2 linked regions of the Arabidopsis thaliana genome follow. The protein of the gene in region 1 purifies or fractionates together with the protein of each later gene. This does not show direct contact. Each region holds a gene or a part of one and is shown in the gene's direction. Other genes may lie near its edges.

Region 1 (6,623 bases):
GCCTAGCCAGAGACGAGCAACACAATGCAATGTGCCTAGATATATTTCTTCTTTTATCAATAACTTTTTTTTCTTACATCCATTTTTTATTTAACATCTATTTAACTTAAAACATTTCTCTCTCTCTTTTGTTTACTTTATATTTAGAAATTTTACTTTTATGAAACATTCTTCATGGCTTTTTTGTTTTTTTTTTCTTCATTATTTGTTTTGTTTACAATATCTCTACAAATTTTGAACCAAGATATGGTATAATGTACTTATTTAACAGTACTATGTTAATTTTTGTTTTAATTTGAAGTAAAACTTATAACGAATTTTTATTTGAATATCAAAAAACGACCATATTTTAATATTTTCTTTAGTTGTTTTGGCCTCTAAAATATTAGAAACGGCTTTGATTAGAGATATCTTTATTTTTACAAAAATAATAATAATAAGTATGGTTCACCAAACAATGCGCAAACCCGACAAAACATTCAACGGTTACAAATGACTAAACCAATCAGAAAATTCTTTATTTAGCAACAAATCTTCACTATATAATAGCGCAAATGTTTATTGGGAATAAGAAGTAAAAAGTAAAAAAGTTTATCAATAAGGAAAAATGGGTATATCCAAGAAAACAGTTGTACAATCATTTGCTCTTATAATTATTATATCTATCGTCATGAGCACAACGGAGGCAAACAGTATAGGCGCTCCAGCTATGCGAGAAGATTTACCCAAAGGTTGTGCTCCTGGATCTTCAGCTGGTTGCAAGATGCAACCGGCTAATCCGTATAAACCAGGTTGCGAAGCTAGCCAAAGATGTCGTGGGGGTTGATACTATGAGATATAATTTTTCTTGAAAAAAGAAGAAAAGATAAAATTACATAAATAAAACTTAATTTTTCAACTAAATTAGTAAAACTATAAAATACAAAATTTTTGTAACTAATTCTATGAGAATAATGTTTTTTTAAGTAGCAGCAAGCTGAGACTGGTACGTGTATGGTAAGCTAGTATTGTCTAACTTAGCAAAAGATAATTGTATATTACCAGTCATTTGTTATATTTTTGGATATTTATGTAGAAAATTCATGTGTATTGTTATATAAGAAAATAATTAATATATTTTGTTGTTTTTTTTAAATAAATAATGTACTTATAATAGAGGTAAAATGTGTAACGCTAGGATAAGTACATTCTTGTCGGATCCAAGAAAGTTAGTAAACCATATATTTAAGGCAACAGGTTCTTCTTCGGATCATAATCTCTCTCATTAAGGGGAAAAAAGAAAAAGCAAATAGATTAAGAGAAAAACAGAAGAATCGGAAAAAACTTGAGAAAAGAAAATGGAAACGAAAAAAAAGTAATAAATAAATAGCCCTATATATAAAGAATGCATCATGCATGCATGATCAAGCATATATCCTCATCTTGTTGATCACTTTGTAAACATCATCCACATCATCGTCGTCGTCTTCTTTCACCGCCTCCACACACCGCTCATTATCGTCCCCGAGGCTGCCATCGCCGCCGCCGCATCCTCCTCTACTGACGTCAGCAGCAGCACCAGACTCGACTCTCATGAAGAAATTGCATAGGAGAAGTGTTAAGAAGCAACATATAATAAATTCTCTAGATGCAGCCATGGATCAGACACTTTCTCTCTATCTCTCTTTCTCTTGTCTGAAAAACAAATGATAATATAGATTAATCCAACTTACTTTAAAAGCTTTTGTTCTTTTTATTTACTATGTTCTTTTGTTATGCTTTTCTCTTACAATTGTGCTTATATAAGAAATGGAATTTACTATTAATGGAGTAGAGTGATTTCTTTTGAGCTGGTCTTAAGGCTAAGTAACTGTTGCAGTATTTTACTTGAATATTCATAGCAAAAATAAAGAAAATCATTTAAATAAGTGGTACGTTAGTGACAAGGAACAAAAAAATGACATGTTTTCGATGTCAAAAAACATACATTATTACAAGTTCCCGATGAAGACTTGGGCCTTGAGCCTAACATTTTATTTGATAGGCCCAATAGTAAAAGTAAAATAAAAACGTCCGTGTTCAATAAGGTCCATCGTCACCGCCAAATCTATCACCGCCAATTACTCTCTAATCGGAAAAGAGCCCCGACGACAACGACCACCGTCCCTCCGTCATGCCGGAGATAGACGCGTTGTTTGAATCGATCAATGTTCGGGACCTTCTCGCCGGACACGATCTAAACGATCCCACAACTCCGTTATCTGCACCGGATCTCCGTCTCCTCATAAACCGCTTAGAGTCTCATTCTCTGCGGATCAAGTCCAAAGTTCAGTCTTATCTCGTCGCTCATCACTCTGATTTCTCGGAGCTATTTTCTCTTTGTCAAGACACCGTCTCGAGGACTCGTCTGATCTCCGATGACGTCTCCGATGTCCTACAATTGGTTTCTGACCGTCCGATTGATGTTGAGATACGCAGTGTGGTAGATGAGATAACGGAAAAGACTAAGGAAGTGAAATTGAAAAGAGAATCTCTTGATTTAGTGAATGCGATCGTGGGAATTTGTGAGGCATTGCAGGAAACGAAGGAAGCTTTGAAAAATGGACGTTTCAGATTCGCCGCTGAGAGAATCAGAGAACTTAAAGTTGTATTGAGAATTGGTGAAGAGGAAGATGGAGAACCTGTGGCTTACGCTTTACTTAGGAAGGAATGGTCTAATTGCTTTGACGAGGTGCAACCTTAGTTAAACTCAGTGCCAATGGCTAGCTTAGTGTCTTTAATCTTCGAATTTGCATCCACATTTCAAAGAATCGTGTATGTGTTTTGCAGATTCAAGAGGTGCTTGCAAAGTTCATGGAGAATGCAGTGCGTTTTGAGCTAGACTCGAGTAGAATCCGGATTAAGTATCAGCTAAGCGTTGGTGAGACTGCTGGAATCGCTCTTAGTACTGTTCTAGAGGCAATGGAGGTATGGATATATGATTTGACTTCTGTATCAATTTTTATTTTTATTTCTGTGTTAAGTCATTTGTTAGATTACACTTTTTGGCATTTGACTGTTCTGGATTTATCTAGGTGATTGGAATATTAGACTATGGGCTTGCGAAAGCAGCTGACTCAATCTTTAAGCATGTCATCACTCCAGCTGTAACTCATGCATCTACCTTTGCCGCTGTGGAAGATTTATGTAAATCCGCAGGGGAAGTCACCGAAGCGACACTAAGGCTAGAGCAATCCTCAGATCATAAGGTCTAGAGAAGCCTCTGTCCATCTCATGAATATCTTCTTTGTCTCTAGCCTATATAGATTATGTGCTTTTTATATTTCCTGCATTTGGTCTATGTCTTCTGAACCTTTAAATACTTACCCACTTAATAATGCAGTTTGAAGATGTGGATGGAGATGCAATGTATTCTGGAATTCTTAAGGTTGTTAAGTTCATTTGCAGTTCCTTGTGCTTTGGAAACGTTACATGGATCCATTCTTTTGGGAGGTTGACATGGCCGAGGATATCAGAGTTAATTATATCTAAATTTCTTTCAAAGGTTTGCTTTTAGAACTCGTGAAGTTGTGAAATTTTGTAGAAATTTCTTTGGTGTGAGAGCACTCTTCTCCTTTGTACTTTAACTGTTGTAGTCTGTTTAAAGGTTATTGTTTTCTTTGGAGTCAGGTTGTCCCAGAAGATGCTTCAAAACTTGCTGACTTTCAGAAAATTATCGAGCGGACCTCTCAATTCGAAGCCGCTCTAAAGGAACTGAATTTTGTTTCATCATCTGACGCAGAGAGTAGGCTCAGCAAATATGCTGAAGATGTGGAGGTTCATTTTGCATCTAGAAAGAAGATAGAAATCCTAGCAAAAGCAAGAAATTTGCTGTTGCAGTGTAACTTTACGATTCCCCAGGTGGGCTTTTGATTTTCATCATCATCATGTCATATTTACCGCATTAACCTTTTCATGTGAAAGATCAGGATTGTGAACTCCGTTTTCCAGGATATTGCTATGAGGAATGCCAAGCACATCGTCTGCTTACTTTTCTCCTCTGAAAGGTGTGTGGTATCTGAAGCTGCATCTCAACTTATGAATTTGGTGCATAAGACGCTCGAGGTGGCTCTTTTCAGACTTTTGCAATTCAATATAAGCTTTTTCCAGACACGGTTGGGATAATAAACTCATTTTTATACAGGATGTCTGTGTTTCTTCTGCAAGGGTTGCTTCAGAGTTCTACAACGCTGCTAGAGATTCTATCCTTCTATATGAAGCTGTTGTTCCTGTCAAGGTCAGTAAAAAAATAGTTTTCAATGAAGATTTAACAACTGAATCAATATAGTGACTGTCGTCACATGGAAATTTCTCACCAATATGCACAAATTCTTATTCTTCTTTTTCCTTACTCCGTTGAAATGTGAAGCTAGAGAAACAACTCGATGGCCTCAATGAAGCTGCTGTTCTTCTGCACAACGATTGTCTATATTTGTTCGAAGAGATACTTGGCCTTGCTTTTGAGGTATGAACAATGTGTCTTAAGCAAGATAAACCGCTATTTTTAATTTCTTTTTTTCGGTTAAGTAATTGTCTTCTTAAGCATCCTTTTCATTGACAGGTGAAAGTTATAATTATCCCCTTCTGCTGACTTTATCATCATTTTTTGTTCACAGTATCGTGCTAGCTTCCCTAGCTCCATCAAGGAGTATGCAGTCTTTGCTGACATAGCCCCAAGATTTAAACTGATGGCCGAAGAAGTTTTGCAAAAACAAGTTCATCTAGTAATTTCAAGTCTGCGAGAGGTGAATCTGTGTGGAAAAAACTGTGCTTAAATCTTACAAAGTAATATTATGTACTCAGTATTGATTCCTCGTCTAACATTTTGCATCTACGATCAGGCTATAGATAGTGCAGATGGATTTCAGAATACTCATCAAATTAAACAGTTTAAATCTGCAGAATTTAGCATTGATCAGGTAAACACACAGACTTGAAATTGTTTGCTTTTCTCTTACCTTCTTTCCAATAAAGTGTCAGTTATATGAGGAAAATGCAATTGTTTTATAGGTTGTCTTTAGTCTAAAGAATGTGCATATGATATGGGAGCCAGTCTTACGGCCCAAAACTTACAAGCAAAGCATGTGCGCAGTTTTGGAGTCTGTATTTCGCAGAATAGCTAGAGATATTCTTCTTCTAGACGACATGGCTGCTGACGAAACTTTCGAGGTAGCTGTTTCTCCTTGCTAGTCGCTTCTGCAATGTTATATTTTAACTGCGTAATGAAAATGTTTGCTTATATATTCTCAGCTACAAAAACTGATTTATCTCATGTTGAAGAATCTATCTTCTGTACTCGATTCCGTGAGATCTGCAGATGAGACTTCTCGTCCTCTTGATGATATCATACCATCTTTGCGCAAAACCCGTAAACTAGCAGGCATGTCTTTTCTTTCTTTTTTCTTTTAAATATCCCTCAGTTTATTGCTAACTTGACATTGGCGCAGCGAAGTTTTCTTACCATGGCTTTTCTTATTGTTTATCATTTTCCAGAACTATTGGATATGCCTCTCATGTCTATAACTTCAGCTTGGGAAAGCGGGGAGTTATTTAGATGCAATTTCACAAGAACAGAGGTACAATCTTTTTAAATCGTTTGACCTCGTGTCCTACTACCTGATATATGGATTAAGGCTATTTCTTATGGTGATTATTGGATCTTTGATTATTGGTTATGGTGATTCTGAAAGCTTTTGGAATGTACTTGGTTACAGGTACAAGATTTCATCAAAGCTATATTTACAGATTCGCCGCTGAGAAAAGAATGCTTATGGAGGATAGACGAGGTTAACCAGTAGATTGGAAATGATAAAACTTAAAAAAAAAACTCAAGACTTGTGAGAAGAAGCAAGTGAAAGCCTATTTTGGCAAAAGAGCCATGAGGTATTTTAATGTCAGCAGCTTGTAACATCGACGACGCACTCTTGTGTAAGAATATATATGTAAAGAGAGTTTTAGCTGATGAGTTTAAAACTTTAGGTTTAAAAGCGTGTTCCAGATTTTGTTGTACATTTGGGCTTTAGATTCAACAAGTAAAACGCTCTGGGTAACAACAATTTTCCGGTACAAATTCTCCAAATATTGCATTTTCCAGTTAGCTAAAAACTTGAAAACCCTTAACTAAGAAACTAATATAAAAAAAATAAAAATAAAAAAGAAGAAACTGATAGGATATTGAAAACCGTAACACATGAAAACACTAAATATTTCTATGAAATTATTGATACAATGATTTTCAATGAAATTAAACTTTTGATATACTTATTCAAATATAATGTATGATGTGTTTAGATGCTAATATTATATTAAAAACTATTTCATAAACTAATATTAAGTTATGAACACTAGGAAAATATTTTGGTCTCATAAACCAACAAAATTACATTAAGAAATAGAGTTAAGAGACATTGGTATTTTTCCTTTTTTTTTTTTGTCGACATTGGTATTTTTCCTTATGTTGGCCACATGTTTAAAATGTTAACAAAATCACATAACGGTCATAATTAAGGGCCCGAAAAGGAAAAATTTCATTAGAAGATCTTATTAGATTTAGTGATCTATCAAGAACTTGAGATGACGTCATATATTTCTATTTAATAACACCA
Region 2 (5,300 bases), on another chromosome or scaffold:
CTCGTCGGGGCACATGAGTTTTTGGAATATACAGCGAAGAATCACGATGTGTACTCTCTTTTAATTTAGTTTTTATTTCTTTGGTTTAACTTTTCTAATATAATATTAATTTTTAGCGTACGGTATACACACTCAATTGATTACAAGTTCTCAAGTCTACTTCTCATTGTAATAATCAGTTCTGAAATTTTTCAAATGTAAACAGAAACTTTTTTTTTTTTTAACAGAAACTTGTTTCTTGCTAAATGTCATTGCTCCACTTTTTTCATTCCAAATAATATCATTAGATGATTAAGATTATGTATTACAAAAAGTAGAGAACCTAAAACAGAGATGATCCGTGCCAAACAAAATTATAAGAAATACAAAGGACATTAGAAATACACAAACTAAGAATCCTTGGGAAATTAGAATTTTTAGCCCACACTAACACCCAACCAATTTTCGATGTTGTGTGTTTTTTATATCCAACCAAGTTTAGAGGTTGTACACAAAAAGAAAACACATGAAATATTGTTTTTGAAAGTGTGAAGAAACCCAAGTTGAAGGAGTCTTTAAAATATTGATAGAACTTTATTAGATTTTAGTACGATAGAATTCCAAGAAAGATTACGGAGATCTCTTTGCCATATGGTTTCTGTCTCAATGATTCGCTTCTATGTTATTGTGTAAGATGATTTATATATACAAATATGTACGAGACTCAATACTACACATTTCCTTAGACAACTCGAAATTTATTGTTTATTTTAGGAATCATATGTACTTAAATATACATGCGCGTGTACATCACACTCTCGGTTTTATATGAAATGCATGCAAAATACTAATCCTGAGTTTGCTGGTGCGATTCCATTGATTAATTATCCTAATTTGGCTTAAAAGAATGGAAACAATGTCATCAAAATCCTCAAATTGTTTAAAACGTTAATTTAAATCCTCAATTTTCCACGAAACAAAATAAATATCAAATTTCTGTCGATTTTTCAAATACTGTAAAATACCAAACTTTTATTGACTTTCCAAATAAATAATAAAATTTTGTTGATATAGCCATATTAGACATACCGTTAAGTGGGATAACAAATCCTGCTATCAAAGTTCATTTTCTCTTAATAGACTCGTTAATTGAAAATGACAACGTTCTCTCTAAGAATAAAACATCGTCTTTTTGTCATAACGGGTCAATTAAATTTTTAATTTCAAGTCATATAGGAATTTAAGGTTAAAGATTTTGCTCGATTTGGGGATCCATGATTGATTGAATTTGGAGATTTTGCTCGACGTCACTTTGTTTTTTTTTTGTTTTTTTTTCGCTTTGTTGTTATAGAAAACAATAACGTTTTGTTGTTATAGAAAGCAATAATGTTTTGAATTAACGGGTATGTTAATAAAAAATTAATTTTGTTAACGGAATCTGTTAATCTACTTAACATCATGTCTAATATGACCATTAGCAAATATTTTGTATTTATTAAGAAAGTCACATAAGTTTGATATTTATTAGAAAAATCAACATAAATTTGATATTTATTTCGTTTCGTTGGATGTTGAGAATTTAAACAAATGTTTTCAAATAAAAGTTGGAGATTTTAGTGATAATTTTCCGATAAAAGAATGTCATTTCTTTGAGAATGCCATTACAGTTTTAATTTACTTGATATGTTAAAAACATTTTTGTGGGCTTAACCAGGGCCCATTAATCCGAGTTACCAAAACTCGCAACTCGTTAACACTCCGAGTCATTGACTCAGTATCTTCTTCCAACGAAATTTCAATTTTTCATTGTTCTTGATGAAACTGAGGCCACGACGAATCGCAAATGGAGGCGATCAAACCACTTCCACAGGTCTCGAGCTTCTCCGCTTCGGTATTTAGCTTTCTCGATGGCAGATTCAAAGAATCCACGGATCTCTCTCATTCTACGGGTCTGGTTTCCGAGTTACAGACGGAGATTTCCGAATTGGATCAGAGATTGGCCGGATTAAATCGCCAGCTCGAGTCAGGTCTCGCTGCTTACGCTTCGTTTTCCGATCGCGTCGGTGGTCTATTTTTCGAGGTTAATGCCAAATTGGCTGATCTCTCTTCTTCTACCTCCGTTACTCGCTCCGCGTCAGGTTCGTATGATTTCATCACGATTCTTCTGGATGTAGATTATGTTCTTGAAATGTTGTAGTCAAATATGTAAATTCAGTCCTGGTGATGGAAGATTGAATATATTCCCGTTATAATTTGAGAATTTGATAATTGTTTAATTCATTCAGATAGCGGAAAGGAGGAGGAGGCGACGGAGCATGTAGCCGGAGAGGATCTTCCTTCATTAGCAAAGGAAGTAGCACAAGTTGAGTCTGTGCGTGCTTATGCTGGTATGTTTGGTGTTAAGGCGTTTTGTATTTGATGGCTGCTTTCTGATAAAGACTAGCTCTATTTTATGATTTGGTGTTATCGATGTTGATCGGGATTAGTTAGTCCCAAAGTTGGAGTTACCAACCTTCTTTCTTAGTTTGGTCACTGTGGTATTCAACATTTTAAGATCTTTCTCTATGTTTCAGAGACTGCACTAAAACTTGACACTTTAGTTGGTGATATTGAGGATGCTGTGATGTCTTCTTTGAATAAAAACTTAAGAACATCTCGGTCAAGTGGTTTTGAAGTAAGCACACTGTCTTCAGCTTAGACTGTTCCGTAGTTTTAGCCAGTGTGTGTGGTTCAATGTTCTAAGTTTTTACTGATTTCAGGAAGTGCGTCTACATGCTATTAAAACACTTAAAACGACAGAAGAGATACTGAGTTCAGTAGCAAAGAGACATCCTCGGTGGGCACGTCTTGTTTCTGCTGTTGATCATAGAGTTGATAGAGCTTTAGCTATGATGAGACCTCAGGCAATTGCTGATTACAGAGCGTTGCTTTCTTCTCTTCGATGGCCACCTCAGCTTTCTACACTAACTTCGGCAAGTCTTGATTCAAAGTCAGAAAATGTTCAAAATCCGCTTTTCAACATGGAAGGGAGCCTCAAAAGTCAATACTGTGGAAGTTTTCATGCCTTGTGTAGCCTGCAGGGGTTACAGTTGCAAAGAAAGTCGCGGCAGCTTGGGATCCATAAGGGAGAAAATGTTCTTTTCCACCAGCCACTCTGGGCTATTGAAGAGCTGGTCAACCCTCTGACAGTTGCATCTCAGCGACATTTTACAAAGTGGAGTGAAAAGCCAGAATTCATTTTTGCCCTTGTGTATAAAATCACAAGGGACTATGTCGATTCTATGGATGAGTTGTTACAACCGCTTGTGGATGAAGCAAAACTAGCTGGGTACAGTTGCCGAGAAGAGTGGGTTTCGGCTATGGTAAGCTCACTGTCTTTGTACTTGGTGAAAGAGATCTTTCCTATATATGTTGGTCAGCTAGACGAAGCAAATGAAACTGATCTTCGTTCTGAGGCTAAGGTCTCGTGGCTCCATCTCATTGACCTGATGATCTCCTTTGATAAGCGAGTTCAGTCTTTGGTATCACAATCAGGAATACTTTCGCTTCAAGAAGATGGGAATCTTTTGAGAATTTCCTCTCTCTCAGTTTTCTGTGACAGACCTGATTGGCTTGATTTATGGGCAGAGATAGAGCTAGATGAGAGGCTCGTCAAATTCAAGGAGGAGATTGATAACGACAGAAATTGGACAGCGAAGGTCCAAGACGAACTCATCTCCAGTTCCAACGTTTACAGACCACCAATCATTTCCAGCATCTTTCTACAGCATTTGTCATCAATAATCGAACGATCCAAATCAGTGCCGGCCTTATATTTGAGGGCTAGGTTCCTGAGACTGGCAGCCTCACCAACAATTCATAAGTTCTTGGATTGCCTCCTTCTCAGGTGCCAAGACGCCGACGGACTAACTGCATTAACTGAAAATAACGATCTAATCAAGGTCTCGAACTCTATTAATGCTGGTCACTACATTGAATCTGTCTTAGAAGAATGGTCTGAGGATGTCTTTTTCCTTGAAATGGGAACTGGACAGCACGATCCACAGGAAGTTCCAGGACTGGAGAACTTTACTGAACCTTCTGAAGGTATTTTCGGAGAAGAATTTGAAAAGTTGGAGAAGTTCCGGCTAGAGTGGATAAACAAATTGTCGGTGGTGATCTTGAGAGGCTTTGATGCTCGAATCCGAGAATACATAAAAAACAGAAAGCAATGGCAGGAGAAGAAAGACAAAGAATGGACGGTGTCAAGGGCACTAGTTGGGGCTCTAGACTACTTGCAAGGAAAAACGTCTATAATAGAAGAAAATCTAAACAAAGCAGACTTTACCGCTATGTGGAGAACTCTAGCCTCAGAGATAGACAAGTTGTTCTTCAACAGCATCTTGATGGCGAACGTGAAGTTTACCAATGATGGAGTCGAAAGGTTAAAAGTAGACATGGAGGTTCTATATGGGGTTTTCCGGACGTGGTGTGTTAGACCCGAAGGTTTCTTTCCTAAACTAAGTGAGGGGCTTACGCTTCTGAAGATGGAAGAGAAGCAAGTGAAGGACGGTCTGAGTAGAGGCGATAAGTGGCTACGTGAGAATAGAATTCGATATTTGAGTGAAGCCGAAGCCAAGAAGGTAGCGAAGAGTAGAGTGTTCTCTTAGTTAGATATTTTTCAGCAAATCAATATCTCATACGAAGGTACATTCATAGGTGAGATCATTTCATTTATTTGTGGATTAAGATATAACACACAACTTTGGATTTTTAATTGAAATTGAACTAACCAGCTCTGGTTCTGTTTCGTCTTAAATTAATGATTCATGAGTTAATAGAGAAACAAAACAAAAAGGAAGCACCGACACTTAAATTCTCACTTTGGGTCAAAGTATTGTTTTAAAACAAGAAAAAAGCCTCTTGAATAGTAACAAAAATAAGTCTCTTTGTTTTCAAACTAATCTTTCTAATAGAAGAAGCTCATTCATCTTCAAGTTTCAGTTAGTTTCCTTTCACAAAAGAAACTTGGAAGAGAAGGCCATGGCCAGCCATTGTTCGTCACCCTTCTACTTAGGATTGTTAATAGTCAGAGCTTAGGCTTGAGTCTTTTCTTCTTCCAGTTGTTCTCCGTTTCCTTCAGCTTCATCATCTTCAACTCCTAGGGACTGGTTTAGGTACTCTTGAGCGTCTTCTAATGCAGATTCATTTGCATCGGTTGCATACAGTATCTTCTTCACTGCTACCACTATCTGCATTCCAGGGAAGCATATATATCAGATTCAAACAAAATTATGTTCATAAAGTTGAGTTCATATGATGAAAAACATAAAATGCGGTCG

Evidence for each region. The genes of interacting proteins can lie anywhere in the genome.
Region 2: the proteins of ATZW10 (region 1) and MAG2 purify together in Arabidopsis thaliana (affinity purification with mass spectrometry; one study listed by BioGRID). This does not show direct contact.

What each region holds. Positions count from the first base shown.
Region 1 is NC_003071.7:13,951,655-13,958,277, forward strand, and holds ATZW10 (centromere/kinetochore protein, putative (ZW10)), read left to right. Parts: upstream 1-2,010; 5' UTR 2,011-2,152; coding exon 2,153-2,710; intron 2,711-2,808; coding exon 2,809-2,946; intron 2,947-3,053; coding exon 3,054-3,227; intron 3,228-3,361; coding exon 3,362-3,523; intron 3,524-3,648; coding exon 3,649-3,879; intron 3,880-3,969; coding exon 3,970-4,083; intron 4,084-4,162; coding exon 4,163-4,255; intron 4,256-4,387; coding exon 4,388-4,483; intron 4,484-4,634; coding exon 4,635-4,763; intron 4,764-4,859; coding exon 4,860-4,937; intron 4,938-5,028; coding exon 5,029-5,187; intron 5,188-5,268; coding exon 5,269-5,398; intron 5,399-5,511; coding exon 5,512-5,594; intron 5,595-5,732; coding exon 5,733-5,816; 3' UTR 5,817-6,094; downstream 6,095-6,623. Other genes in the region: AT2G32885 (Rapid alkalinization factor (RALF) family protein), read left to right, coding at 608-826; RALFL17 (RALF-like 17), read right to left, coding at 1,404-1,637. UniProt on the Arabidopsis thaliana protein: May be required for accurate chromosome segregation. Required for proper maturation of seed storage proteins. Forms a complex with MAG2, MIP2 and MIP3 on the endoplasmic reticulum that may be responsible for efficient transport of seed storage proteins.
Region 2 is NC_003074.8:17,583,101-17,588,400, reverse strand, and holds MAG2 (RINT-1 / TIP-1 family), read left to right. Parts: upstream 1-1,693; 5' UTR 1,694-1,822; coding exon 1,823-2,117; intron 2,118-2,264; coding exon 2,265-2,366; intron 2,367-2,552; coding exon 2,553-2,653; intron 2,654-2,738; coding exon 2,739-4,628; 3' UTR 4,629-4,800; downstream 4,801-5,300. Other genes in the region: microtubule end binding protein EB1A, read right to left, coding at 5,055-5,210. UniProt on the Arabidopsis thaliana protein: Functions in the anterograde transport of storage protein precursors from the endoplasmic reticulum (ER) to the Golgi complex and in the retrograde transport from the Golgi complex to the ER.